4 linked regions of the Alligator mississippiensis genome follow. The protein of the gene in region 4 purifies or fractionates together with the protein of the main gene of each other region. This does not show direct contact. Links are inferred from orthologs where the notes say so. Each region holds a gene or a part of one and is shown on either strand. Other genes may lie near its edges.

Region 1 (6,933 bases), on a different chromosome or scaffold from region 4:
ACCTGTCAAATGCTAGCCCCATAGAAAATGAGTGCATGGCAAACTTTATTCTGTGCCATCACTGTTTCTGAGCTATGGAAAGGAATAAGAGGAAGTAAGGAAGATAAGCTACCAAAATTAAAGAAAAGAATTCAAGGGCAACGTAGTCTCCATTGCAAATAACAAGCTACAGAAAGGCTAGACTAAACCACTCAGTAGAATTTAGGTTTTATACTAAAACAAACTGTAAACAGCTGCTTTTATGAGCTGTAAAGCAGGGGGGAAGGAGAGTGTTACCACTCAATAAGACTCCCTATGCTTAATACTGAGCTGAAAACCCCACTTGCTTCCTCCAGCTTGAAAGAGCTTCAATGTTGGTCCGGCAGGTATGAATCAACGCAAAGCTACTAACCTTCAAAGTTACTTTAGGTAGAGTTTACTACCATTTGGGGTAGACAGGACATCTGAAAGAAAACCTAAAACAAAAGTTATTTTGAATAACCATTAAAGACCCCACAGAACACTGTAAGTAGCAATGGCAGAGGGAGGTCAATAGTAGTACATACAAAATGAAGCAAACACTCTATATATCAGTTGCTGATACTCAAGAAAGATCTTACAGTGATTGTGGATAATTCTCTAAAAATAATCAACAATAGTTAAAAAGGTAAAAAGAATGTTAGCAATTATTCAGAACTGTACTGAAAACAGAATGGAAAAATCTCATAATGCCATCATATAAATGGTATATCCACAGTGGAGGAGTTCAGGTCCCCCCCTAACCCTACCTCCAAAAGGATACAGTAGAACCCAAAGGTATGCAGAAAGGCAAAAAGAATGATAAAGGGTATAGAGAGGCTGCCACACCAGGAGATATTGAAACTTCCTACCCGATTTAGTCTGGAGAAAGAGATGGGTGATAGGGGAATACGACAGAGATCTACAAAATAAAAGGCCTGGAGAAAGCAAGTATTTACCATCTTCAACAAACCCACAACTTGGAGACACGCAATGAAATTAGGAAGCAGGTTTAAACTAAACAAAAATAAGTTATTTTTAGAGGCGCACCAATATATTGGTTGCCTACTGGATCGTCACCAACAAATGGGAAATTTACATTATTGGCTATCTGCTTTATTGGCTGTTGTAGCTGTCAGTGTTCTCCAATATTTATCCCTTCTGGCTGGGTCCCCTTAATGCCCAAGTTCCTTCTCGCCTGCAGAGCTAGGGCCCCCAAATGCCTGGGTTCCCCCCCATGAGCCAGCGTGACCCCAGATACACCCTCTCCCCTCACTGGCAGGCCAGGCCAGGCTGAAGTGGACCAGCTGCTGTTATGTCCAGGGTGCTGGCATGGTGTGGACTGGGACCAGGGCAGGCACTGTAAAAAGTACCAAATGCTGCAAACATGACTGGGGCAGGGAGAGGTGAGTGGAGCTGAGCTGCCCAGCCTGGCTCAGCCCGACTCAGCCCACAGTGCCTGGGAGTCTTGCTGGGGGAAAAGGCTGGCAGGGGCTAGGGCAGCCACTCCCTCTCCCACCAGTGTGTAGCAGGGTCTTTCCCATGGTGGGGAGCCTGGGGCTACAACTGCCATTGGCACTTTTACATGTGCTTTGGGGGGGTGGCACTTTAATTAGAACGGCTCTGTTGTGTCTCCTGCATCAGAGTCCCCACACTTAGAAATGGTGATAAATATCAGTTATCATCAGATTCCTATCGGCCGATATGGTTGGTTAATAACCAGCTTCAGTATCAGACAAGAAAACCTTTATTGGTGCACCCTTCGTTATTTTCCTGAACTGTATAATTAACTTATTGCCATAAATGCTGTAAAGACTGATAATCTAACCAGGTTCAAGAGAACTGGAAAAATTAATGCATGGTAGGCCTATCAGCGAGTATTATACTTGATATCACTACAACCATTCCTATGTTTTCCTAGGAATCTTCTGTAAATAGGAAGAGGGAAATGGGACAGATGAGTCTGCATGAATACTCTCCCTTTTGGCCACTGTGGATGTTGGGCTAGATGGGACTGGCCCAGTATGGCAGTTCTTATATTTATGTTTCCTTTTTTGCTGCACGGTTCTTAGCAAAATTTTCCCTTCTACCTCTGTCATTTAATGTGTCAACTGATTATCACACATCATAAGATGTACTGTGCAGAGTATTGAAATCTAGGGTACATGAGGCTCTTGAGATAACATAGAATATAACATTAAAAATGGTAGTTCTGGATAAGGCAAAAATCAGCAAAATCTACCAATAATTAGAAAAGAAGTCAAATAGAACTTGGGTTCTACAAACTTTCATACATGCCTGCATAATCTCAGTTTGCAGAAGATATAAATAAGAGACCTCTACTTTTCCTTTTTCATTATTATGCTTGTATACTTGCTACACACTTTATTACAAAGAAAAAGTAATAGCAGAAAAGGATCAAATATCTGAAGTCAGAGAGAATTATGTTATGGCTAATTTACAGGAGGTTTAACAGATTACTACCATGGGGGGAAACAATTTGCAGAAAGATATTTGCACTCCATCCTTGTCCTTTAAACCAGCATTTCTCAACCTGTGGGACACAACCCAGAATTGGGTCACAAGAATATATGAAAGGGCTGTGAACAAACTTTAAAAACAGATCAACAAACTTTAAAAATGGATTCTCTTTTATAGGAGAAAAATTTGGGAAACCATGGCATTTCCCTTGCAGGCTGGCAGAGCTCCAGCCTTCAAGGGACTGCTTGCCTGCCCGCCCCCTCCCCACATATTGGGGGGCTGAGGCCTGGAGGCAGTGGGTCAGGAGTGAGGGGCACTGTGTTGGAACTGGCCATTGATGTTTACAAATGACCCCTAGTACAAAAAAGGTTGAAAACCACCAGGATAGTTTGAGAAGTTTGTTTTTTCTCTATATTTGCATGCAGAGGAAATGTTGCATAAACTTACTGTTTTCTATTATGCAGCCATGCAGGACTGCCAGAATTTATTAGCCCTGGCATGTAACAGACTTGATCAGCCTTTTCATCATCCTAATAAGAGGGAAAAAAATCTCACATTTATTCACTCCTCCAAAGCACCTCCTTTGGGCAAGCAGAACCTTCTAACTTGCCGTTATGTTACTTCCAACTGTTGATGTTACACCAATAAGCACTGTAGAAAAAGCCTATACAAAACCATTACATGGGAAACCATGATGAAAGCAGGAAGGGGAGCCTTGTCCTGTACCTCCAGGTATAAACAAAAACAGAATTTGAGTTCTACAGGAAAATGCATTACGTGGAAACTGCTCCTTCATCACGACTAAGAACTGTATGAGTGGCTGTAACGTATCTTGGTGGGATAACTGATCACTTGGAAGCTCCACACAGTCAGGGCCCCAAATCCAGACAAATGGGGCAGTGGGGCACTGAGGGAAGTCCAAGAAGTTTTTTTTCAACATTCAAAAAGCTTTGCCACAACTCTTCAAAGTTATTTTAGGTATAATTTTTCTACTATTTGAGGTAGACAGGACTTCTGGAAGAAAACCTGAAACAAAAGATCTGTTCTGCATAAGCATTAAAGACCCCCACAGAATTCTGTAGGTAGTAATGGCAGAGAGAGGTCAATAGTGTTAAGTACAAAATGAAGAAAGTTTGGAAAAAGTAACCCAAGATATTACAGCTGATAAGACCAGGGACTTCATGTGATCTATATACACTATGATGGGCTCCATACTAATTGTTGTTACTCAAGAAAGATCTTAGAATGATTGTGGACAGTTAGTTCTCTGAAACAGGGTGAAAGTTGAAACAGGGTGTCAATTTATAAATGTTGTAAGTGCAAAACATTGCAACTCCAAACGTTGCAAGTCGAGGACTGCCTGTATCTGAAGTCAAAGGGAGCTAAGGCTAATTTACAGGAGGTTTAACAAATTTCTACTGTTGGAGGGTAAAGAGGGGGTGGAAACAAGAAAGCACTTTCCAGAAAGAAATGTCTTCTGACACTCCATTGTAGTGCTTTAAGTGAGTTTCAGGTTTGCTTTTTCTCTACATGTTCATATGAAGAAAACACTATAAGGGTCTTGGGGCCCTGGCTGTGTGGCGCTTCCAAGTGATCAGTTATCCCACCAAATTCAGACGAATGGGGCAGTGGGGCACTGAGGGAGTCACCAATGCATCTATGGAAGTCCAAGAAATGATCATCCTGCTCATTCAAAACAGCCTCCCTGCTTCAGGGGCGAGTAAGAGGAATCAAACATAAGCTGCAAGCATCCAGGCTCTCTCAGGATTCGCACTCCCACCACAACCCAGAAACTGAGCTGCACGTCTGTCCTGCCCTGTTGCTGCTAACCCGGTATTTCGGGGCCTTCCGGAGCAGCGGCCTCTAGAGGGGAAAGCCGGCCCCGCGGCCGCAGCCGACCGCCCGCCGACGACATTGTGTTTACAGACGCGGCCTTCCTCTCACTTCCCCCCGCGGCTTTGTGCGGGAATCACCCTTCCGCGGAGCGCGCAGGGGCCGCGCTGCCTGTCTGCGGCCGGGCTCTCCCGCGCCAGGTGCGGGGACAGCCCGCGGCCCCGGCTCCAGAAGGCAGCCGGCCCTGGGAGAGGCCGGGCCGGGCCCGGCGGCAGCAGCGCAGTCGCTCGAGCAGAGCCGCGGGCAGCCGCACACAAAGGCCGCGCGCGCGCCCGCCCGCCGGGACCCGCTCCGCGCCGCGCCGCCAGCCAGGGGACTGCTGCGGATCTCGGCTCCCCCGCCCGCCGGGGCCGCCACAGGGGCAACGAAGCCGCGGGCCCGGTCCGGGCGCCCAGGGCGCGCTCCCAGTCCCGGCCGCAGAGGGCAGCCGAGACCTGCCCCCGCCCGGGCCGCGGAGCGCAACAGCGACGCCCGCGGCAGCGGGAGAAGGAGCCGCCCCGGCCGCGGACGCGGCTTCGCCCAGGGGCAGCGGCGGCTGCGCCGGGAGCCCCGACCCCCGCCTGAGGCCCCTCCCCGGGCCGTGCGAGATCAGCCGCACAATGGGGCTGCGCCACGCCGGGCTGGAGCCGCGGGGGCAGCCGGCGCCCCCCACCGCCCCGCGGGCGGCTCCCGTCACCTGCCGCCCCGGCCCCGGCCCCGGCCCCTCCCCGCGGCGCCAGCGCGGACTCGCTCCGTCCTCCGCCCCGGGGCGCGCAGCCTCCGCAGCAGCTGCCCCCGGCCGCGGCCTCCCCCTGCAGTCGGCCAGCGGCACTGCCGCTCCCCGCCGCCATTAGCGGCACCAGCGAACAATACGGGAGGGCAGCGACGGGTCCGCGGGGCGCAGCGCCGGCCGGGGGCTCCGGGGCGCGGGCACAGTCACAGCGGGGCCGCGGGGAGCGCTCCACCCGCCCGCGCCCCCTCGGCCGCCCGCGCCCGCCCCAGCAGCGACGACGCAGCGGGCTCTCGGTCCGCTCCGCCCGGGAGCCGCGAGGCGAGGGCAGGCGGCGGCGCCCGTCCCCACCCGGGGCAGCTCGGCGCCGCCAGGTCCCCCCGAGCGCGGCCCCGCCTTACCCGGCCGCCGCCAGCGCAGCCCCCCCGGCCGCACGCGCTCGGCGCGACTCCTCCGGCGCCTCAACTCTAACTCGCTCCAGTCCCGGGCTAAGCGCAGCTGCTGGCGCTGGGGGAGGAGGACGACCCGGGCCAAGCGAGCTCGGCCACGGCCGCCCCCATTGGCCGCCACGCGGGGCGGGCTGCGGCGCTCAGCGCGTCGATTGGGCGAGTGGGCCGCCCGTCAGCGACGCCGGCAGCTGGTTGGGCCGCGCCGCCGCCCGTCTTCCCCCGGGCCCCGCCCACAGCTCTTCCCACTCCGAGCCATTCAGCTGGCTCGAGAAACCCGAGTCTCGGCGCTCGCGGCTCTTGCTGCCCGGGGCCAGGCGGGGGCGCCGCTCCGCTCCCGGCACAGCTGCTGCGGCAGCGACGCGGCGCTGCCCGGAGCCAGGGCCGGGAGCCCTTCGCGCAGCCCAGCCGGGTGCCCGCTCCCTCGGGGCAAGTGCCCGCGCTGGGGCAGGCCCGGCCCGGCCCGGCCCGGGTACTGCAGCCCGTCGGCCCGGCCCGGCCCGGCCCGGCCCGGCCCCGCCCCGCCGGGCTGCAAACCTGGGGCCATTTCCAGGAGGGCCGCGGGAGACCTGGAGCCCAGCCCCGCTCCCGCAGGGCGGAGCGCGCAGCTCCCTGCGCCCCAGGGCAGGGCTCCGTGCGCCGCCCCGGGCATGGCTCCCTGCTGCCCTAGCCGCGATGGGGCCGCTAAGGGCGTCATGTCGGCAGGGCTCCTGGACGCGCTGCTGCTGGTGGCAGTGGTGACGTCCTCCATTTTGTCAGACGCTGCTGTGGGGACCGTGGGCTCCTTCAAGCCAACGCAGGGTGCAGGAAGGCACCCACTTGAGGTGGCCCCTGCTCTGCTGGGGCAGCACAGGGTAGCTGGCAGGGTTGCAGGGTGGTTGGTGGGCAGAACCCTCTGCTCTGCTCCCAGCTTCTGCCAAAATGGAAGATATGTACTCCCCCTTGGGTGGCTGCTTCCTCCCCCCAGGGGCCACAGGCTCCAGGCCTGCTTCTTTGAGACCCTGCTGCCCTCAGGCCCTGGGGCCACTCGCTCTCTGCCCCATCACCCACTCCTCCCCTGTCCAAGGGAGGCAGCAAATATCAGTCCCCTGCTTTCCAGTGCTTGCACCCTGCTAAGCAGCATCCTGCACCAGTGGCCCGCACTTTTGGGCAAGAGCCCAGGCCTCTGCTTCTATTCCCAGCCCATGGGCCACACAACCCACCAAGGCCATGGAGCAACAGCCCTCGGAGGTGGCGCTAAGCAGTATGCCCTGCAGTGTACCTCCTCCCTGCGCACTGGATCCTAGCTTTGGCTACTGGCCTCATTCCAAGTCTACCATCTGAGGAGCACACCAGGCCTGGGCCATACAGAGGAGCACTGCCTTCCTCTGAGAAGGCACAGGAGGCCCCTCAGGCCTGGCCTCTCCT
Region 2 (7,572 bases), on a different chromosome or scaffold from region 4:
TTTCTTTTTTTCCTTTTTTTGGTAATACTCCAGGGCTATACTCTAAAAAGAATATTAAATTTTTTCATTGGGAGAGAAAATAATTCTAAATCTACAGTGGGACAAATACATAAATCTTAACTATAAATTACTGTAAAGATTTAATGTCTTTGTGCATCTGCTTCTGTACACTGAATACCAATAAAAAAAATAATTACACTCATTAAGGTGTAATGGCACCTTCAAAATCTAGAGATGAAGGATCCTAAAAATCATATTTAAATAAAAATCTCAGAATCTAATGTTGTTGCTTGTGTTTGGTTTCAATGAAGTGAAACAACACATGAAAAGGTGCTGCTTTTAAAAATACATTGCTAAACCAGATTTGGCCCAACACACAGGATCAGTAGTTATAATAAATTATTTTCTACAGTTCTTCTCCCCAGAGGATTTCAGACCACAAACCAAAATGAACTGAATGTCACAACACTCGTGAGGGGGTTTATTATTCATTTTCTACAGACTAAAAAATCTGGAGCACAAAATCATTAAATGACTTGCCCAAGGTCACACAGGAAATCTTTGATAAAGCCAGAAGTAGAACCCAGCTCCCCTGATTTCAAATCCCATAGCCTCTTAATGTTACAAAACCTTTTTAAATTAAAATCCAACATAGAAAGCTTGATGCATTCCCTCAGTGTTTACAAACCAAACCAAATTAACAGTGGTAGGGAGCATTTAAAACCAGAATATTACGCTGACTAAAAATAAGAGCAGAAGTGATTAGTCAATTTTCATTTTCTGAAGCATGGGTAAAAGCAACAGGAAACAAAAATAAACACTGAAAATTATAATTTTAAAAATATCCATTTTAATAAATCAACTTACTATAATAGCATAATTCCACTTGTTGGAAATGTAACACTTTGGAGTTAGTAACATTCATTTACCTTGATTGTGCCAATCATGCCATTACTTTGATTCTCTTAACATTTGAAAATAATGAAGTGAACTCATAAATATGTACAGCATTTGGCTCTGTTATTTAGTCAAGGAATCTCTCACTGTTTCAATATTTTACGTAAGATTTGCACTTATATAAAAACTTATGGATCATTCAAAAATATATAATGTAAAAACATAACTGTTTACCCTCTGCTAATACTGATACAATTCAGGGACATGCAGCAACAGAAACTGGTATCCTATTCTCAGGCCACATTACAGTAGTGCATCTCTCTCCTCCTACCCCGTTCAGGCCAAACAACATTTCCAAAGTAGAGGTTCTTCAGCCTCTGCCCTTGTTCCCCCACCCCCCAACACACCCCTATTCCCTCTGGCACAGACTACCACTTGTGCCAAATTAAAAGCAAACTTATTTAATTTAATTCTTAACCTGATCTTGATCCCTGGAACCTGGATTTTCAGAAGCATTTCTCTCCTGACCTAATGGCCGGCTATAATCTAAAGCACACCAATAAAGGCCAAATATTAGCAACTGTTTTTTGTAATGTACTGAAGACGACTTGTCTAAAGCTAGAGCCAGGCACGCTCTACTCACAGCAGGTGACTGAGCAGGTCTGCATGGGGGAGAGGACTGAGCAGGAGCTTGAATCCAGGTCCAGCTCTGGACTGGAGAACATCAAGTTGCAGGCGCCATTCTTGTTTCACCCCAAAATATCCAAACGTGTTCCTATGTTTCCCCCAACTCTTGGCCCAACACGTCATAAAGATGGCTATGCTCACGAGTTTCCAGCCACACTTGAACCACAACTGTAAATATTTATATTCAGTTCCAGGTTTTCATGGTTACACTGGGTTGTCGTCACCGAAGTACCCATCAGGAATGCCTAAAACCCTATGATCATTCCATATCATTAAAAATAAATAACTAATACAAATAAATCAGGGTTTAGGTCTTCTTGAAGCACTTTCTGGTCCATAAATCCCTCACAGCCCTCAGGATAGCTCCTCCTACGCCCTCCGCCTCTCCTCTCCCTTCCTGTTTTGGATCCAATACCTGGACAAAACACCTCTGGCTCTCACAGCATCCGATGGACCCCAGCTCCAGCTCACTAAAGCTCAGGGTCCGGCTCTCCCCGAGTTAGCCCCGTGCGGGTCGGATGCAGCCCGCCAGGCCATTCTAGCCAGCCCTAAAAAATTTAGAAAATTAATATTTATCTGCCCCCGGCTGCCTGTCATGAGGCCCTCGATGGCTTGCCAAACTCAGTAAGTGGCCCTCTACCCAAAATAATTGCCTGCCCCCGAGTTAGCCTATAACGGGGGTGTTTCCCCTCGCACGTCCAGATTGCACCAGATTGCACTGTTCCCCCGCCTAATGTGTCCCGAGGGGGCCGCCCTGCCCTTGCCCGTCCAGGTGGACCGGGGCACGGCCGGATCCGGCCCCGGCGGTGCCAGACGAAGCCTGCGGACGGACCCGGGTCGGACCCCGCCGGTCTGCGAGTGGACGCAGCCTGGTCCAAACCCTCCGAGGCAGATTCATGAGGACTAAACACTGCCCAGAGGTGCAGGCACGTGGAGGGGAGCGGAGGGGAGGGTCAATTCCTCTCATCAAACCACGGAAATAATCATAAATAAATACAAAACAACAACCATGTCCAACCAACAAAGACACTTTGCAAACCTCCAGTCGGCGCCGGGCTGGGGGCAGGATGCGCCCTCGGGACCGCGGCGGCCGGACCGCCAGGCTGAGGCGGCAAGCGGGGAGGCTGAAGGGCGGCCCGGGGGACGCGCCGCCTCGCCTCGCACCTGCCCCCCGCCCGGCCCCGGCCCCGGCCCCGGCCCCGGCAGCCTCCCCGAGCGGCCGAGCAGCAACCGGGGCCTGAGGAGCGGCCTGCGGGCCGGGGCGGCACTCACCTGGCGAGGCGGCAGGCGCCGCCGGGCGCGCATGGCTGGGAGCCCCGGGCCCGCTCCGCGCCGCCGCCATACAGAGGCCGCCGCCTCCGCCTCGCTCCGCTCCGCTCCGCTCCTCGCTCCCCGCGCGGCGCGGCGCGGCCCGGCCCGGCCCGGCCTCACGGCAGCAGCGCCCCCTGCCCGGCCCCAGCGGCACCGCGCGCCACTGCGGCACCGCCCCGCCCCCGCCCCCGCCCCACGGGGCACCGGGCCTCGCGCGCCGACCCGCCCCGAGCTGCTCCGCTCCGCTCCGCCGGTCCGGGGACACCCCCCACGCCCCCGCCCGCACGCGCACACGGCCCCCGCCCCCGCGGGACATCCCCCCCCCCCACACACACACACAACCGCACGGCGCAGCACACATCCAGGGACAGCCCTCAGAGACCCCACAACCCACCACCACCACATTTGCAGACACCCACACACACACACACACCGAGGGAGATTCCTCAGGGAGACAACCACATCCCCCCACCACACACCCCCCCACAGCCCCGCACACAGACGGGGAGACCCTCCTCTCCCCCCCACACACACACACACACACACACACACACACACACACACACACACAGACAACCCTCCACATGCCGCCTCACAGGGAGGCCCCTCAGACCAACAGACGCAGAGGGAGACCCCCTGCAACCCTGCACACACACACCCGGGATGATTCCTCAGGGAGACAACCACACACACACATACCCCTCCCACCCACACACACACACACACGGGGGAGACACACAGCTAAACACACCTCTTCCCCCGCACACACACACCACAGTAGGCACCAGAGAGACAACCGTAGCCACACACACACACACACCTTACACAGAAAGACACAACCAAACACTGCACAAAGATCTCCCCCGGCCGGACGCAGGAAACACAGACAGGAGCAACGACAGACGCGGAGGCGACATGCACAAATGTGACACCGTAGTCAGAGTTACGCAGTCACCCACACATGAGCGCGCAGCCACGCATAGAGAGAAAAGGGACACGCAACTCGGAGACAACCGTGACTTCACGCACACAAAGTGGCGTTGTAGGAGACCATCCTATTTACACCTACAAATCACAAGCACAAGGGCACACGCATCTCACATGCACATATGAAGAGTCATACTACCATCCATGAGGGATACGTGACTGCCTGTACATAGAAATGCGGTCAGACACACACACACACGCGCACTGCCATGTGCCTATCATGCAGACACAGCGGTGCAGAGCGACGTACATCCAGCACTGCCGACACTTAGATTTCCTATACAAACATTCTCACAAATAGTGGAGTAGCAAACTGTCAGGCACACAAAACCATTATTATTCACTTACTGTAGAGTCCCAACAATCATTTATTTATGAGGAGAAAGCCAAGGAAATACACACGCCACAAACAAAATACCTCTCTGTTCCTGGCTGTAGGCAGTCAGTAACATGCCTGTGGAGGAATGTGCTTTTCTCTCTCTCTCTTTTATATATTTGTCTGCAGTTGGCTTATCTTTGCTCTGAATTTTACAATGTGTTATTTTCTTCACTCCATGACTTCAGTGCTTGTACATATAAATATCCATCCGTGCACACCGCTGCCCTCTCCCGGTCGGAATCAAAACGAGCCGGCTAGGTGTCCTACAAACTTTTCCCAGGACTTTCACAAATAACTTATTGAGATGACAGATAAAACAGGTGGACTTTAGACGTACACCCTTCAGAAATGTTTCAGATCCCCTCAAATAGTGAGGGGGAAAGGACAGAGCTCACTTGTCTTTTAGATAGGTGCTCTATCTAGGCCAATATCTTGCTGTTTGTAAAGGGGAAAGAGTGAACACATTACAACTAATACATTTAAAGCACCCCCTCCCCACTATTTAATTTATAATTCAACTGCTCACTCTGCTTTCAGGGATGTGCCTTTTACTGTTCCCGTGAAAAGTACTCAAGGGGGATTCCACCTATAGTGAGCATCCCCCTCACGGCACCTACATGCGCCTAGACTTCACATGGGCCATCTCCGCAAAGCAACTGAGCATGCCATCTTCAAAAGCCAACAGGACTTTTCTGCAATTGCTGCTCTGGGCATCTGTAGTGCCAGGCACTGGAACTTCACATTTCAGTGATGCCCAGATAATAAGGAAAAGGAGAGGGGGACAGTGGCCAGAATGGTGGTGAGAAGGCATAGAAAGAAGAGATTGCAAAAGCTAGATAATTGGTGAAATGGAGAGGGGGGAAATAGTGGCTAGAAGAGTCAAGGGAAGTGATGATCTGGTGGGAGGACAGCTGAGGGGGAGGGGGAAGGACCAATAGAACTATATATTCCAAATGAATGGTCAAAAGAAAGGATGCTGATAGCCATGCATATAAATCAGGAGCTAGGAACTGTAGAATATTTAGAATGGAATAAAAGAAATACAAGGAAAAAAAATGTATGGCCAACAGGTTGTCCTTCCTGTCTGGTGCAGTGGGCTGGACCCGATGATCTTCCGAGGTCCCTTCCGGCCCCTTACCGTCTATGAAACAGAAATAAAGACAATGAGAAAAACATTTTAAGGGTATTAGGAAGAAAAGGAACCCTGATAATGTTACTGGCCCATTACTAGATGAAAATGGTGGAATTGTCCATACTGAAGCTAAAAAGGCAGAAGTGTTCAATAAATATTTCTGTTTCATAGCTGGGAAAAAGCCAAATGATATATTCATATAATATCAGAGAATGATGAAATACTTTCCAGTCCAGCAGTAACTGAAGTATAGGTTAAGCAGCAGGTGCTATGGTGAAACATTGTTAAATCAGTCATTCCAGATAACTTGTGTTCAAAAGTTTGAGGAGCTCTCCAGATAATTCATGTTGATTTTTACAAACCCTTAGGATATTGTGGAAGTCCAACAGCACTGCACAAAGGCTAGTAGTGTGCCAGCATTTGGCTAGGGTAAATAGCATGTTAGCCTGACAAATCCTGGGCAAAATGATGATAAGAGCTGAGATGGGATTTGTTCAGTAAAGGATTTAAATTAATGCCAAGATGCATTTATGGATAACAGATTTTTTTTATGAGGTATAAATTTGATTAATAAAGATCATAGTGCTGATTGGAAAAATATGCCTTAGAAGACAGGTCAAGGAGCTTAGGCCATTTTGTTCATAAAAGGTGAAGTGATGACTTGCTCACCATCTCTATGTACCTACATTCAGGAAGAAAAAAAAATTAATAATAGAAGACTTTTCAGTCTAACCGGAACAATCCAATGCCTGGAAGCTGAAATTATATTCAGATTCAAAAGACAGCACAATTTTTAATACTGAAAGCAGTTACCCATTGGAATAATTTGCCAAGGGTTTTGCTGGATTTCCATTTGGACATTTTAAAACCAAGGTATTATGTTTTTCTAAAAGATGTGCTCTAGTGCAAAAGGAATTGATTTAAAGATGTCGTACAGCCCGTGTTGTCCAGGTCAGACTAGAAGATTACACCATTCTTTTTGGCTTTATAATCTATGAACAGTGGAAGTGGAATTTGGAGGAGAGAGAGGGGAGAAGCTAGGGTCCCGGAGAGATAGAGACCTGGATGCAGGAGAAGATAAAAGCAAAAAGGAGTAAGACTACAACCTGAGGGCAGAAGCAGTGGAGGAGGCAGCAGTGTCTACAGCCCCTCTAGAATCTGGAATTGACCCAATTCCTCCATCTCAATATTCCTTTGCTGTCATCAGATAACTAACTGTAAAATCCTATAGCAATGGGTATGTCTCAGAGTACCACTATCAGTCACTCCATTAGCTTAAGCAGTAAATGTCTGTGCTGTGGTTCTAAAGGTCCATAACTTGCTTATGACTGTCACTGGGGATCAATATGATTCTATATGGCAAGGTTTATTTTTCCAAGTGTGCTTATTTTGAAATATATGCATTAACATATAAAAGATTATGTTACAAGAAATTGCAAAGTTAATGCGAAGTGCAATTATACTCTGAAGTTAAGCAATACAGAATGGCCCTTTGTCTGTGTGCACGTGTGTATTATGATACAGCCTATAATTGCCGGATCACTTATTTTTCCGCAGACCTCCTACCTCATTAAATACACAGCATGTTGGATGTCCAAGGAATGAATGAGGACATTTTCTGTAGGAACCCTGCACTATTAACTGCAAAAGGCAGAAAGGAAGGTATGTAAGGAATAAGACAAGCAGCTGCAGACAAATAAAAGATAATCCTGCCTTGAGGAACCCAGTGAGTACCACTCTGAAGAACTGGATTTTACCCCACCCTCTGCCATAGTGTTCCTGTATGATGCTGAGCAAAAAACACTTAGGCAAAAATGTTTAGTCTGCCACTACGTGCATGTTACTCATGTGCTGATCATCCAAAAGGCAGATTTGCAGAAGTGTAGACAGGACCTAAAAGATTGATAAAACTATTAAAACGGCTTGATAGTGTCCCCTTTTTCTTCTCCCTTAGGTGGATAGTTGTAGGTCTCAAGGAATTTATTTAAAATTTGTAACTGGTGTGAAGATGGACTCACAATGGCTTTTTCTGGAGTTGCTGTGAAAAAAGAATAGTCTCTGTGACTTGTAGGCTTTCCAGAGATCCCTGAACAAAATATCCTGATTCAGGCATCATTAAAAATCTTCTAATTAAAGCAGAAGTGATTGCCAGTAAATGTTGATAGGCCACACTTCGATA
Region 3 (7,470 bases), on a different chromosome or scaffold from region 4:
ATAAAAAGTTGCAAAAGGAAATATTAAAAACATACAACAAATTCCTGTACTAAAGATACCTTTTGCCATCAAGCCAAACTTAAAAGAGATATAAGTTTTCATTTTGTAGGTTACATTCAGAGATCCTTTTCAGAGAAACTGAGAAAGGGAACACAATACGATGTAACAGTTTATTTTCCACAGATGGAATACTGCAACTGCTATGGTTCTGAACAGTTCCAGACCAGTAACTGTGGAATGCCGAATTTAAGAAGTAGATTGCCTAGTAAGAGGCTTAAATAGACCAGTGTTTTAGGCCCAAACTTTGTATGTCTATTTTTAAGGTAGGAACAACCCACCCGCCATCTTTGCTTTAACCTCAAAATGGACAAAGTGGGCAACTGAGCCTCTTAAAATTTCCTTGAGCAGACCAAGTCTGACCTTCTATAGCTAGGGTTACCATACAATTATTTTTTGGTCCTCTGTCCAGGCAGGTTTTTGAAATGCAAGTAAATGTCCAGGTTTTTGCTTTGCCTATGCTTTCCTGGCACTTCCAGCTTCACTGCCTAGGGCCGAGGGCAGGAGGGGAAGGTGACTCAAGTGCAGAGCACAATGCACTAGCCACAGGCCCCACATCTGCAGGCAGGTGAGACAGAGACAGCATACATCTGTGTCTGTGGACACCAGTAGGGGTGGGTGGCAAGAGGCTGTGGGATGGAAACGAGGGGCACCATCCCCCCCCCACAATCATATTCCACTGCCCCCCCGTCCTCTTTTTGAAACTGTAAATATGGTAACCATAACTATAGATGACAGTTCAAATATGATTTCTTAAGCTCCCTTAATTCAGTGCATACTGATGATCAAATCAAGTATACAAGAACAAGATACAAAGAGTCACTTGCAAACATACTTTTTGACTTCTTAGATTCATACTGAGCAAGACGCTCGTCCCTCAGTCTCTTTGCTTCTTCGCTTTCCTGCAAAAGGAAGCTAGATTTAGAACAAAGCACGGATAAAAAGGCATTCTTCACAATACTGTCAAAGTAGACTGGCTTAGTCAGAAAAAAACAAATCATCAGCAAGATCAGCCGAAAGATGGTGATTTGGTTTTATTCATCATGTGACCAGTCAGTTAAAACAGGCACCCCTACAAACTCACTAGAACTTTATCCTATTTAGATTTCACATTAGCTTAGCCTGTGCTTAAGCGGAAGCCGCATAAAAAAACCCCCAAAAACCAAACTACACACAAACCCGGGTCTCCTTCAGATACTTTACAGACTTCACTTGAACCATGCAAATTCTGTAAAGGAGTAGGTGCTTCCACTAGATTTAAACATGCATGTAGTACGTTCCTCATTAACATGTTCTGTCCCCACACCCATTCAGCAAGCAGTCAGTTCCACCAGAAGACTATTTTTAGAGAGCCTCTCCGATTCAAACAAATTATGACCTTTATAAGATGTTAAACAGACCAACAGAGCAAAGATAAACTAAAAAAAGAAATGCATCTATAACTGAATTTTGGTAGCTGGGAAAACAAAAACTCATAGCAAATAAATAAAATAAATGCTAGTACACCTCCTCGTCATCAGATCCAAAGAGATCGATGTCATCATCATCTTTGGTATCTGCAGCTGCACCAGCTGTGGTATCCTCAACATCAACAGGACCGTATTTCCCCAAAGCCTTCTTCACTCCTGGCAAACTAAGTAAGAGAGCAGAGTCTGTTAAAGATAACTGATTTAAAAAATGTATATATTTCAGTTTTACTGAGGTTTTGATTCTGTTGTAAACCTCCAGTAAATATTTCTTGTCCTAACAATGAAACTCAAACCTTAATTATGTCACTATTTCAGAAGTGAAGCACCAGATTCCAATCCACAAGTGTACCCACAGTAAAGCATGCTGCTTAGACGAATATGGTGAATTTAATGTGCATAGAAAGCTAAACCTCTCATGCATACAGCAACTCTTGCTCCTGGTAATTGGATTTCCTAGAGTACACCACATAAGAGCAGCAACCAAAAGCTTCAGAACACAACCCTGTACCAAGAGGAGTTCTGCAAATTTTACTGTGCTGTTCCAAGTGCAGAAGTGATGGGATATATTACAGAAAAAAATGTAACCACCATCAAATCAAATTTAAGAATTAAAATGTTTTACATTAAATTGAAGCACATTAAGCACTGCCACTCCCCACTGAAATATTTTCAAGGAAATGCTTCATTATTGAAAATTAAGCCTCAGTGGGAATGGTAATATCAAAAGTTTTATCACAATGTCAAATCCTTGGGTTTTACTGACAGGTTGGTTCTAACTATGAGGTAGTTTCCCAATACTACCCCACACAACCATAAGCCTATAATGTAAATAAGGATAAACTAAAATGCCTGAGGAACCAAGGAGAACCTAACAGGAACTAAATATTCCTGAAACCCAAACACAGTTCAAATAGCTCCATCTACTGCTAGAAAACCTAGAATGCAACTTTACATTGCCTGTTCATTCTAGTACCTTTTGAACTATGATTTAATTCCTGCTTTAGTCTTTCTAGATGTAGCCACTAACACCATAAGAGCATAGTTTTGTCTTATGCTTTCATTTACAGTATTGTGGGGTTTGCTTTAGGGATTTATTTATTTTTTTTAATCAGACTGTTAGGCATTAGAAAAGCCAATGACAAAGCACTCTCCTTCTGAGCGGCTAGAAGAAATTACAGTACATTACGTTCTTTACAGATCTTGTGAACTGGATTTTACAATTTCACCCCAACCCACATACTAACAAATTATTAAATAGTATTACAGGCTGTAACATCAAGAAAAGCCTAGGACAGAATGGATAAGAGACCAAGCCATCCATCTCTACAACAGGTCTTGGTGAGGCAATGTGGAAATGGCACGTACTAACACTGCCTATGCTGTACCTTTTCTAGGGAGGACTTCAGTCTCCATGGCTGTCAATACGGCACTTTTCATGACCACTAAATTCACTAAAAAAAGAAGAGAACACATTTGCTTTCATTTCCCTCAAGAACAGTGTCCTTACTGGTCACTTGTCTGATTTAACCCTTCAGGGAGAATAGTCCAATATGAGGTTTTCCTAAGAGCCATTGTAATTATTGTGCTCCTGGCTCAGGTGGCTTTGAGACCAAGCTATAAAAGCCACTAGCGAGCAGCTATTGTACGTGCATGATTTTCAAATGGAAACACAAAAGGACTCAGTTGCATTGGATTAACCTGGTTAAAATCCAGCCCACCTTGGTATAACCTTTAAACCATTATTTGCAGTGTATATAGAAGGTCATGCTGCTCAAGGCATGAGCGGCCACAAAGCCCGTCTTCCAGTGCTGGGGTTTCAGCCGAGCCCCTGAACGCCGCATGTGCAATAAGGGTAGACCTAGAAGTGCAGAATCCCAGGGCCAGCGTTGCCAGGTGTATAATTATCATATCTATGATAATTTCATACCCTTGTACAATGTGAGATCAATAATACTAGCAGAAGTGTTCAAAATGTGCAATAATTTTTGAGGCTGCTAACTAATGCAGCATATGCAAAGCCCAAATCACTCTTGAGGACTTTTGAGCTTGCTGTCAGTACCTTCTTTTGACTGCTTGCCTCAAAATAAAGAAGTCTTTCAACTTTGGTGACCCAGTTCTCATTCACTCACTGGCAATTTACAGCAAATAAGATGTATTTGCGTATTGATTTGCCTACTTTTTCAGCATACAATATAGTTTTTCAGTAAGCACAACAACGTTGAGCTTCCAATAAGATAATTTCCTATTTAAGACTTGGTGACGCTGTCCAGGGCAGAAGCAAGCCATCTTGGCCAGGCCACCCCAGTGCCCGCACCCTACCTGCTCCACAGCAGCAGCGAAGCTGGCACCTTTCAAAGACAACACACAGGCTCAACATTTAAGGCAACCCCCCCCCCCAAAATAAAACAACCCACGCCTTTTGCGCGGGGGGGGGGGGCTGCTCCCAGAGAAGCAGTGAGTGGAGGCAGATCCTACCTGGCCTTTTGCTTCTCGTAGGACTGGATGTGGTTGTACCAGCGCAGCGCGTGGCACAGGTCGGCGGGCGGCGGCGCAGACACGGCCTCGAACACGGCGACGTCGGCCTGGGACGGCCCGAACCTAAGGGGACGCGCGGTCAGAGCGGCCCCGCACGGCGCAGGCGCGGAGGCCCGACCCCGCGGGCCGGTTACACTCCCCCCCTCAGCAGCGCTCACCCCTCAATGTAGCTCCTATCCGCCAGGAAGTCATTGAGCATATGGAGGCCTGCAGCGGTCTTGAGGTCCCCGAAACCCATGATGGCAACAGCAGGCCAAACTCCGACAGCACCCACTGCGCAAAGAGGGCGCCGTCTCCTCACGCCCCCCTTATATAGGCGCCGGCGGAAGGTTCCTTTTCCATTTAGTTTCGTCACTATAGTGTCCTTCCGCGGAGAAATAGTGCCTTCGTCTTCCGCTCCGCTCAGAGCAGGGAGAGGGCATTACCGGACACGAACATAAGAAAACAGGAGCAGAAGGAAAGGTTTCAACTCTGGAGCGTGCTCGGCCGGCTCCACTGAGGGGACAGGGATTTTCAAAAACAGGTTGCAAGGAAGTGACGGAAAATGCCGAGCGCGGGTTCCGGAAATTGCCGAGGGCTGGCGGAGGGTGGGAGGGGGCGGAAGCTTCCGAAGCCGCGTGTTCCCGGGGGGGGGGGTGTCGGACACTGCCGAACCCGCCTCTTCTGGGGAGGGACGGAAACTGCCGAGCCGCCGCCGGAAGGGGACGGGAATGGCTGAGGCTGCGCGTCCCGGGAAGTAACGGAAACTGCCGAGGCCGGCGCTGGGGGGGCGGAAATTGCCGAGGCGGTGTCCGGGGAGGGACGGAAACAGCCGAGCCGCCGCCATCCAGGCCCTGCGAGCTGGAGTTGCCGCAGTGGTCGTAAGTGCTGCGCCGCGCCGCGCGGCCGCTACTCCGTCGCCCCTCAGCGGCACGAGGTACCGGGCGGGGCCGCGGCCGCGGTGGGGGGCCGAGCCGGGCCGGGCCCTCCTCCTGCGCCCCGGCCGCTCCGTGCCCTTGACAGCCGGAGGGGAGCGTCCTTGCGGCGGCCAGTGATGGCAACAGCTTTTCCTTAAGTCTGAATTTACTGTGAACAGTGTGTATATCTATATCTGTATCTATATATAGATATAGATATTTTTACTCAATAAGTGTAGTAATGGAAAACGAACACAATGAGAAGTCAGCCCCCCAGTGGTTTGTTTTGGGGGGGGGGCGGCGTGACAGGGCAGTGCTGCTGTAGGAGGGTTTGGATGTTGTAGCGGTGAGGGGGCCCTTCTGTGACCTCCTCTCGCACCGTTTCTCAACGCGTGGGTCGCGACCCAAAGCAGGGGCGCAAGAATATATAAAATGGTTGTGAACAAGCTTTAAAAATGGATCGGTCAATTTTAAAAATGGATTTTCCTTTAAAGGAGAAGGACGTGGGAAACTGGCTTTTCCCCTGCCGGCTGGCAGAGCTGCAGCCTGTGAGGGGCTGCTTGGCATAAACACTGGGGGCGGGGGGCAGCAGGCCAGGAGTGAGGGGCATCAGGACTGGCCACTGAGGTTAACAAATGGGTCCTGGTGCAAAAAAGGCTGAGAACCGCTGTCTCATTTAACTGGCTGTATTGTTAGGGCAGAAGTTGGGCCAGCTTCAGATCTAGAAAAGAAGGTCTGTACCCTCCCCTCAGTCTTCAGGTGGTCTCTGTGCTCTTTGGGGCACAGACAGAAGTGACAGTTTTTGCCTGATTTGGCCCCAGAAAGCGCTCTACAGCCATAACCAAATGGAAGTGCACAGCTGCAGATCACTTTAAAAGGACCCACGACAGTCTGAACCCTCACTGCATGAGGGGTGAGGGTCAGATGAACCCTGTTGCATGAGGGTTCAAATGAACATGCTCCAAATCAGAGTATGTTGTATAACTTGTGTCTGTAAAGCTTCCAGCCTGTCCCTGTTTTCAGAATGGGAGGGGGGAGAGGGAGCAGAGGGAGTCTGGTCTGGGTTTTTTTCAGCAGGCATTTTGGGATGGGGTGGGTGGATTGGAGCTGGGAAACCTGAGTTCCCTCTGCTCCCTTCTCTTTCTTCCTCCCTCTTCCCCCCCCCCTTCTGAAAACAGCCTCCAGGCGGGGAGGGGGGAGTGGCATTGCTACAGAAGCTGGGCTGCAGGTCTGCAGCACACAACTGGAGTCCCAACTCCTGGGTCCAGGACACAACAGTAAATTTCTCTTGGGTCCGGAGGATCCTTGCAACTCAAAGTGCTTCCTTGCAAAGCACTATGAGTTGCAGTGGGGAGCTGCTCTTTTGCCTTTACCCTAGAAATGTAGTCAAAGCTTAGTAGAGAGCTGTTGGATGTACAGTGGGGATCTACAGAAATGTTAGTGTTTTCTAACTGCAGAAATTTGTGGCACTAATTGCTCTCTTGTATTTCCCAGCACCATGCTGCGACTACCTGCTGTCCGCAGGGCCCTAGCTGGTGTCACTCAGTCCAGCAGAGGATGTGGTGAGTTGGCCTTTATTTTATACATTTACGTACATTGATGCACTGTGTTTAAAGAAAGCACTGAATGTTTCGACTGTTATATTATGTGTAGAGGGGCTTCATATGCATCACTGAGTTTTAGAGAATGATCTTCTAGCTGAGGCTGTTTCAGATCATTCCAGTTGTTTAACTATGAATTATTTTTGTTTCTGATAATCCTTTAAGCTCTTCATGCTTTGATTTCAGTCTTCCTGGAGGACAGAATTTCATAGTGTTCAATCCAACACTCCATTTGTTTTTGTTTATCAGTGATGACATTTCCGTCCAAGTCTTACAGTGGATCTGTTTTCTTCTTGACTGGACCAATTGCTTGCTTGATGCTTTCGTACGTTTTGTGGCTATCGCCTGCGTCAACTGCTTTCTGAATATGATCAGTGCTTCAGCCAAAAATCTGGGGCACACAGTTTAGCCTCTTTTTGCATTTCTCCTGGAGCCTTTCTCAAAGTTTCCAGGGTTATGGTTTGGGAGATGACTTGCAGATGGTTAGTGCTGTCCTTTTGTTTCCAACCAGTGATAGAAGCGTTTCAGAGTGCTCTTAAAACTAGTCTGCATTTTACCTAGCATTTCCTCCCTTCCTCCCCCCCCCCCCCCCCCCAAATGCTGTTATAGCAGCATTGTACATGTTAGTTTTTAAGTTTCCACAAGCCTTGGTGGATGAGTTGTTAGGTAAACTTGTTTTCACAACTTCTTCATTGAATAGTTTGCATCTTTAGTTTGGCTGATTATCAATCTGAGGATGACTTGCTACAGTGGATCTTTTTAGCATTGATTCTGACTTAACATTGACCATACCTTAGTCTGCTGCTATAGTCAGTGATGTGTTAAGACCTTGCATGCAGATTTCTTAGGTGGTTGTGCCTGGTTAGTACTAGATCTAGTTGGTGCCAGTGGGCAGTGATCCTGATCTTGGAT
Region 4 (7,966 bases):
TGAATGGGACCTGGGGGTCACAATTTACTGGAAGATGAATATGAGCCAACAGTGTGATGAAGTCGCCAGCAGGGCAAACGCTAGAACTTTAGTGTGCATCAGCCAGTGCATTGCCAGCAGATCCAGAGGGGTGCTTCTCCCTCTCTACTCATCATTGGTTAGACCGAGGCTGGAGTACTGTGCCCTGTTTTGGGCACCGCACTTCAGGAAGGATGCGGATAATCTTGAGAGGGTGCAGAGAAGGGCCACCCTCACGATCAGGGGCCTGGAGGATAGGCCATATGAGGAGAGACTCTGGGAACTAGGCTTGTTCAGTCTGAGTAAAAGGAGGCTCAGAGGTGACTTGATAGCTACCTACAAGTATATCAAGGGGGAGCACCAAGATCTGGGGGAGGAACTCTTTAGAATGAGACCCTTGGGAGGATGAGGACCAATGGACACAAACTAACAGAGGGAGGATTTAGACTGGACATAAGAAAGAACTTCTTCTCTGTCAGGGTAACTAGAACCTGGAACACACTCCTGGCAGAGGTGGTACAGTTGCCATCCTTGGAGGTGTTCAAGAGGAGGCTGGATAAGCACCTCATTGAGCTAGTTTGAGCTCAACCTCCTGCCTACGGCAGGGGACCTGATTTGATGATCTTCCAGGTCCCTTTTGGTCCATTGTTTCTATGATTCTATGTTGCAACTATTCCTGCCATATATGACTGGAGAAAAAGTATCCCAGGTTGGGAATGTTACCTTAGAATCTGAGCCTCGTGCACTTCGCAGAACAAGTTATAGCGCTTCTGGGCACCCTCAAGAAACTCCGCGAGAGATCCGGCCTGAAGATCCTTCACATTCCTGGCCTCATGGCTCTCCTTCTTCAGGACCCTCTGATGGAAATTAAAGCACGTGAGACACATAAACATCTCACAGTCTGAGCACCAGAACTCCCCCTCTGTTTTGCAGTTGCCACACCCTAAGTCTATGCCCATGACTATTTTTTGATAGGTTTTCATCTGGGACTGCAGCCTGGCATACAGTACGTTGTCCTGGTCTGGAATCTCACTAGGTTGCAAGATAGGAGCCTGGCAGATGGGGCACTGGCCCATGGGCTTGTTCTCTTCCAGACAGTCAATGCATAAGGTGTGAAGGCAGGAAAGGAGCTTGGGCTCTCTGGATTGATTCCGGCATCCATCACAGAGCAGAAACTGGAACTCTTCCTCCACCACCTTTAGGGAGAAGAAAGGGACAGAGATACCTGGCATTAATCATACTATGATATTATCCCAATGGGAGATGACCATTGGGCAAGGAGAAAGAGGTGTTGCTAGTGCTGCTAGAAGGTCATTTGATGGATACCAAGCAATAGAAACATCTGGAAAGGCCCAATGTAGCAAGCCAAAGCTAGCTTGACTGGGGAGTCCAGTGGCTGAGGGAAACCCTGGTTGTGAGAGTCTGTAGCTAGTCCTTCCCACCACTGCTTGGGAGGTAGAGGCATGTAAAGAGCATGATGGAGCAGACTACTGGCTGGGCACAAGCATGAGGGTGTAGGACACAGGGCATGTCTACACATGCTGATTTAAAGCATTTTAGCCCAATTTAAGGCAGATTAAAAGTGCACATCTACATGTGCAGGCCCTCAATGCACCTTAAAAATGGCATTTTTAGGCTATTCATGCCTAAGTTTGATATGTGCAAAAGCCGGTATTAAATTTAGGCATGAATAGCTAAAGTGCATTAATGCACATGTAGATGTGTTAAGGCACACTAACACTGCACACAGACTGACTTGGAACTAACTTTACTATGAATAGTGAGGAACTATGAGTAAGCACACACGGAGTTAATGCGCTGTAACACATGCATGCGTAAAAGTGAGACTAAATCACCTTAATGAATGTTAAATTTCGGCATGCCTAAATGCATGTGTAGACATGCCCAGAACCCCTGCCATCTACACTTTCCCTCTCCCTCGCCGCTCGCCACAGGCTCACCACATTGTTTCTCCCCCAAGCTTTCCCAAACAAGCTGCCAGTCCCCAGTCTTCATCCCATCCATAGTGCACAGGCCCCTTTCTTTGTCTCTGCACCATACTGCCTCTTTCCTCACAAGGGGCTCTGAGGGGTGAGTCCGAGCTGAAAGCCCTATCGCACCCAGCCTCAGGCCACCTCCCTAAAGAACTTCCACAGATCCCCCCATTACTACCGCATCCAAGAATGTCTCATGGACACTGATTGATTCATCTTTACAGAGCCCCTATCAGGTAGGGAACCATTTGTCCCATTGTTTGCCAGGGGAACAGAGGCCCAGATATACCGAGTGGCTTGCCCAGAGCCATATCGGCTGTCTGTGGCAGTCACCAGAAGTGGGGCCAAGTTCTCCTGCCTCCTCCCCCTGCCCCGCGAGCTCCCAAAGCAGCCCTCCTCTCAACTACAGAGATTTGAAAAGGGACACAAAAAGGGCCCTGGGGCATCATTGAGGCAATTTCCTAGTCTGCGCTGCTATCTGCATGCTGGAGAGTTCACAGGGCTGTTGCCCAGTCACTACCTCCCTGCCACCTGGTTGTCTCTGCCTTCCCTGCTCCCTTCCATACTGGCTTCCCCCACACACTTCCTACAGCCATCTCTGCTGCCCAGGGGGCAGCCCTGCCACATCCCCTACCCCCAGTGTAATGGCACATGCTCTAGCCACAGCACCACCCACAGAAGGAGATGAGGCAGCCAGGTCCTAGGAGCTGTTCAGCCTCATATACCACTTATTTCCCCTCCGTCATTGTTGTACATTTAATCTACCAGCTTGATCCTTAACCCCAAGCAAGAGCCTCTAGCAGAAGGTCCGGTCACTGCGACAAACTTACAGGGGCTGAGGAATCCTGGTCAGCCGGAGGCTCCTGAGACGTGGCATCCATGATCTGCACTCGCAGTTTCCTCTGGGGCACCCAGATGCTTTCTGAGCTTGGTTGCAGCTCAGTTTTCTTTCCTCAAAAATGAAAGTAGCTTTGCTTCCGGGTATCAGGCAGACAGAGAGAAGAATCTGCGCTCCTGCCCTGCCCTCTGGTGATCAACCCCAGCTTTGATGTGTGATGCATCTGGCAGGGGAGGGGAGGATAGTCTGAAATCTTCCAGCCCTCCTGGGCATAAAGCTTGTCATACATTTTTCCTTCTGCCTCCTGGCCTCTCAAGGCACAAGGGAAGCCTGCACCAGCCCTGGATCTCTGTTTATCTTGAACAGCTCATTCAGAGGCTCAATGTGTTGCTCTGATTCTGCTCCAGATCCTGTTGGCAGAAAGTCTTCCTGGTAGAGAAGCAGAACAAGCTCCCCTTGGGGGCTGGTGACAGAGACAGCTCCAAGTGTGGGCAGACTCTACTACATCCTTGGCCAGTTCCCAATTTCCCCAACTGCAATAACCCCCAAGAGATGTTTTTACTAAGGTGGAACAGCAAAACATTTCAGACGTGTCTCTGACAGGGCATGAGGTGAGGGGTCTTGTGTAGGCGGCATAAACTAATGCCCCTTCGTGCAACAGGAAGGATGCAGTAGGGCAGGGCTGGATGCTAGGGGCCAGCTCCCTCCTCTCCAATCTGCTCTCCCAGGAAAGTGTTTCCATGGTCCTGTTTATTTCTGTGGATCCTGGATCCCCTCCTGCTAGCTCTTCTCTGGCCCCAAACTCACCACATTCTGGGTGACTTAAAAGGCAAACATACCCTGCCATGGTCTTGTAGCTGCCAGGAGCTTGGCTGTGAAGACTTGGAAGGGGCCAGGTGTTCAAGCCCATCAGCTAAGTGACTCTAGAGAATTAGGCAAGCCATTCCCCATTTGCCACAGCAGTGATGCAGGGTTCCCCATGAAACAGTCTGAAGTACTGCAAATGTTACCTCTGCCCCTCCCCAGGACTCTGCTTGACAAAGACCCATACAGTTTGCCCATCTGTCTAATGCCGCTGTTAAATTGTTGCCTTAAGCACCAGTCTGGTACACCCATTGAGGGGAAAATGCCAGCCCCTGCCCACTGTGTGCTCACAGGTATAAGGGACAGCAGGGTACAAGTCACGCATAAATGATATACCTGGTACTTTACACCTCACCTGAGGGCCCAAGAGACAGGGAGGCAATAGAGCTGTGCGCGGATGTATCGGAAGAGGGAGCTCTGCTGCCAGGTCACCATGCTTTTAAGGAACATGTCTACCCATTGCACAGTCAATGAGGCATAATCAGGATAGGCTTTATCTTCCTTTGAAGCATCATGTATAGGCAGAGGACAGACCCAGACTGTCTATCAATCCAGTTGGATAAGTCATTCTGTCACCTACTTACTTGCTTTGAAGGGCAACCAGCACTTATAGCACTTTGGCCTCCTTGATGATGTATCTCCATTCTCGTCTATCATGAGATATAACCTCCCAATCTTGTCCTACATCAAGTACCTTCAGGTTTCTTATGTTGTTGTCTGTCTAACATTGACAAGGCCTACCTCAAGGACCTCTTTTCTGTTGAGGTTTATAGATAATCCATCAATGCTGATCTCGTGAAGGAACACCTTGAGAGGCTGGACACCTTCAAGTTAGCCGGCCCTGACAATCTGCACCTCAGGGTACTCAAGGAGCTGGCTAGCATCATAGCTCAGCCCCTGGCACAGATCTTCAATAACTCCTGGTGCTCTGGTGAAGTACCTGACGATTGGAAGGCCAATGTGGTGCCTATCTTCAAGAAAGGGAGGAAAGTGAATCCAGCAAACTACATCAGCCTGACCTCTATCCCAGAGAAGGTCTTAGAAAAGATTATCAAAGAGGCCATTCTTAATGGACGGGCCGACAGCAACATCCTGAGGGATAGCCAGCATGGGTTTGTTGCAGGTAGGTCATGCTTGACCAATCTCATTTCCTTTTATGACCAGGTGACCTATCACCTGGACAAGGGAGAAGAGATTGATGTTGTATATCTTGACTTTAAAAAAGCCTTCAATCTGGTATCCCACGATCATCTCTTGGCAAAACTGGCCAACTGCGGTCTCGGGTCCACCATGATCCTCTGGCTGAAGAACTGGCTCCGTGGTCGGACCCAGAGGGTGGTGGTTGACAGAAGTCAATAGTCATGGTGCCCTGTGACCAGTGGGGTCCCTCAAGACTGTGTTCTTGGACCCACATTGTTCAACATCTTCATTAATGATGTGGACATTGGAGTCAGAAGTGGACTGGCCAAGTTCTCAGATGATACCAAACTCTGGGGTAAAGCATCCACACCTGAGGACAGGAGGGTGATCCAGGTTGACCTCAACAGGCTCAGGAAATGGGCAGATGTGAACCTGATGGTGTTTAACACCAAAAAATGCAAGGTCCTCCACCTTGGGAAGAAAAACCTGCAGCATGCTTATAGGCTCAGCAGTGCTGCGCTGGCTAGCACTATGGATGAAAGGGACTTGGGGGTCATGACTGACCACAAGATGAACATGAGCCTTCAATGTGATGCTGCGGCTAGTAAAGCAAGCAAAACACTGGCTTGCATCCATAGATGCTTCTCAAGCAAATCCCAGGATGTCATCCTCCCGTTGAACTGGGCCTTGGTGAGGCCGCAGCTGGAGTACTGCGTCCAGTTTTGGGTTCCACAATTCAAAAAGGATGTGGAGAAGTTTGAGAGTGCAGAGAAGAGCCACATGCATGATCAGAGGTCAGGAAAACAGACTGTAACAGGGGGCCTACTCAGGGCCGATCTCTGTGGCCCACCCACCTGTTCTTGGGCCAACCGCCCGCATTCTCACCCCCCACGCCTTGATGGTAATTGATTAATTAGTAGATGTTAGTTGAGCGGGAGGCTGCCCATTTACTGCCCCGATGCCAGGGGGCACTATCTGCAGCTCCTTTCCTCCCCTGCACCGCAGCCCAAGCCTCGCAGATGGCATCTAGATGTTCCTCTAATCACCAGCCCCCCCACTGGGCCCCAGAACCCTACTACTGAACCCACCTGGATTCCCCCCTTCAGGCGGACTCTTCTGCCATCATACCGGGCAGCACAGCTCCCTGAGCTGGTTCCCCTTCGGGTGTGGTCCCCCCCACCGAGACCTTCGGCTCATCTAGCCCTGGCCCACCTCCAGGCCAGTCGGGACTCTAGGCCCTCAGCTCTTGGGCATCCCTCAGGGTGGGCCCCTGGCCCTTTGACCCTTCCGGTCCTGGCCCCAGCATGGGACAGTCAGGGGAAACTCAGACAGGTCCTGAGTCAATGGCCCTTTCCTCTCTCCAAGGGTCCACCCTCTGGGCCCTCCAAAACAAGGGGTAACTCACCTGGTTGTGGGGGCTAGGGGTTAAGGTGCCCCAACCCACCTTTCACCAGGGTGGTAACTGGCCTGGCATTTCCTGGGGGCTCCCGCTCCACTGGGAACCCCACCAGGCCACCCACTCCCAGCAGGGTGCAGTTTTAAATCATACCCAGGACCAGGAGACTCCTAGCCATCCCCTACAGCTCCTCCCTTACCTCCAGTTGTAGCTCTGCAGCCCTCTGGCCAGGCGATGTTGTTGCCTGGCCTCTCACAGCAGAACTGCCTGCTTGTATGGGCAGCCCCTGATTCCAAAAATGGCTGCCCTCACCAGGCACCTGGTGGCTGCCAGCTCCAGGCCCTTGAAGTGACAGGCACACACAGTGCCCTGCCACACAGACCTTACGATGACAGGCTGAGAGCTATGGGACTCTTCAGTCTGGAAAAGCACAGGCTCAGGGGCAATCTGGTGGCCACCTATAAGTTTATAAGCAGTGTCCACCAGGATCTGGGGGGATGTTTGTTCACCAGAGCGCCCCAAGGGATAACAAGATCTAATGGTTATAAACTCCTGCAAGACTGTTTCAGACTGGACATAAGGAAAAACTTCTTTACTGTCTGAGCCCCCAAGGTCTGGAACAGCCTGCCATCAGAGGTTCAAGCACCTACTTTGAACGCCTTCAAGAGAAAATTGGAAGTTTATCTTGCTGGGATCCTATGACCCCAGCTGACTTCCTGCCCCTGGGGAAGGGGGCTGGACTTAATGATCTTCCGAGGTCCCTTCCAGCCTTAATGTCTATGAAATCTATGAAATAATTTTGATTTTTCTTGATTATGCTGTTATGTTCCTTTTTCTTTTAAAAACATCTCATGACCATTCAGCAATAGTGAAAAGGGCCTATAGGCGGGAGACAGATCCCTTAGGTTAGGTACAGCATAATAGTACTATTAAACTAGTGGTTCTCAAACTTTTTAGACTCAAGGCATCCCTTGATACATTTAAGGTGACACCCAGAAAATGTCACCTCTTCACATTCACTCTGCTTTTGATTACAGAAAAATACTAGAGCAGTTCTTCTCTTGTAAAGGATTTGGAAAAACCACAACAGACCAGAATGCTTTTAACACTCTGGATTCCTATTTGAAATCCCTGGGTTTATCTTGTGAGTCATATTTGTGCACCTAATAGTTAGGTGCAAACCAGCTAATATTCGCTTTGGATTCAGCCATTTCAGGAGACAGTAATTCGAATCATCGTCCCAAATCGATTTGACCAAATCACACAGGCCCACTCTCCCAGCCTGGCAACGGCTGCCCCGTCCAGCCCAGCTCTTGGCTTTGGAAAAAAAAAAAAGCCCCAACTCTGGGTGCTGCTGGGCAGGGGGCGATCCCCGCTGCCCACCACTGCCCCATGCTGCATGGGGGGCTCGGCATGAGTCCCCAGAAGCCCCGAGACCACTGCAGGAGCTGGTGAGTCTGGGGTGTTTTTTTCCTTAAAGGGCTGGAGCTAGGTCAGGTGGGGCAGCCATGGGGGGGCTCGGAGAGCAGGTGGAGGTCAGGGGACTCATAGCAGAGCCCACCCATGTAGTGTGGGGCAGTGGGGGGCAGCGGGCACCAGGACCTGGGGTAGGCAGGGCAGCCATTGGGGGGGGGGGGGCTGGGGAAGCAGGCAGGGGATGAGACCTGGCAGGGGTCCCCCCTCGTCCAGCCCCCCCTTCCCTGCCCCCTACTTTCC

What was found.
Region 1: the proteins of protein PML-like (region 4) and ZMYM2 purify together in Homo sapiens (affinity purification with western blotting; 3 studies listed by BioGRID, with this or other methods). This does not show direct contact. The link is inferred for Alligator mississippiensis from reciprocal best matches to the Homo sapiens genes PML and ZMYM2.
Region 2: the proteins of protein PML-like (region 4) and ZFYVE9 purify together in Homo sapiens (affinity purification with western blotting; 3 studies listed by BioGRID and IntAct, with this or other methods). This does not show direct contact. The link is inferred for Alligator mississippiensis from reciprocal best matches to the Homo sapiens genes PML and ZFYVE9.
Region 3: the proteins of protein PML-like (region 4) and NDUFS1 purify together in Homo sapiens (affinity purification with mass spectrometry; 3 studies listed by BioGRID and IntAct, counting the BioPlex papers as one, with this or other methods). This does not show direct contact. The link is inferred for Alligator mississippiensis from reciprocal best matches to the Homo sapiens genes PML and NDUFS1.

The regions. Positions count from the first base shown.
Region 1 is NC_081824.1:434,333,971-434,340,903, forward strand, and holds the start of ZMYM2 (zinc finger MYM-type protein 2), read right to left. Parts: upstream 3,013-6,933; 5' UTR 2,979-3,012; coding exon 2,926-2,978; intron 1-2,925. UniProt on the Homo sapiens protein: Involved in the negative regulation of transcription.
Region 2 is NC_081828.1:8,895,679-8,903,250, reverse strand, and holds the start of ZFYVE9 (zinc finger FYVE domain-containing protein 9), read right to left. Parts: upstream 3,006-7,572; 5' UTR 2,857-3,005; intron 1-2,856. UniProt on the Homo sapiens protein: Early endosomal protein that functions to recruit SMAD2/SMAD3 to intracellular membranes and to the TGF-beta receptor.
Region 3 is NC_081827.1:174,213,337-174,220,806, reverse strand, and holds the start of NDUFS1 (NADH-ubiquinone oxidoreductase 75 kDa subunit, mitochondrial), read left to right. Parts: upstream 1-4,456; 5' UTR 4,457-4,584; intron 4,585-4,815; exon of another isoform or gene 4,816-4,977; intron 4,978-5,035; exon of another isoform or gene 5,036-5,135; intron 5,136-6,451; 5' UTR 6,452-6,455; coding exon 6,456-6,519; intron 6,520-7,470. Other genes in the region: EEF1B2 (elongation factor 1-beta), read right to left, coding at 893-959, 1,564-1,690, 4,002-4,124, 4,220-4,299.
Region 4 is NC_081834.1:42,410,681-42,418,646, reverse strand, and holds the start of protein PML-like, read right to left. Parts: upstream 3,020-7,966; 5' UTR 2,894-3,019; coding exon 2,843-2,893; intron 1,215-2,842; coding exon 742-1,214; intron 1-741.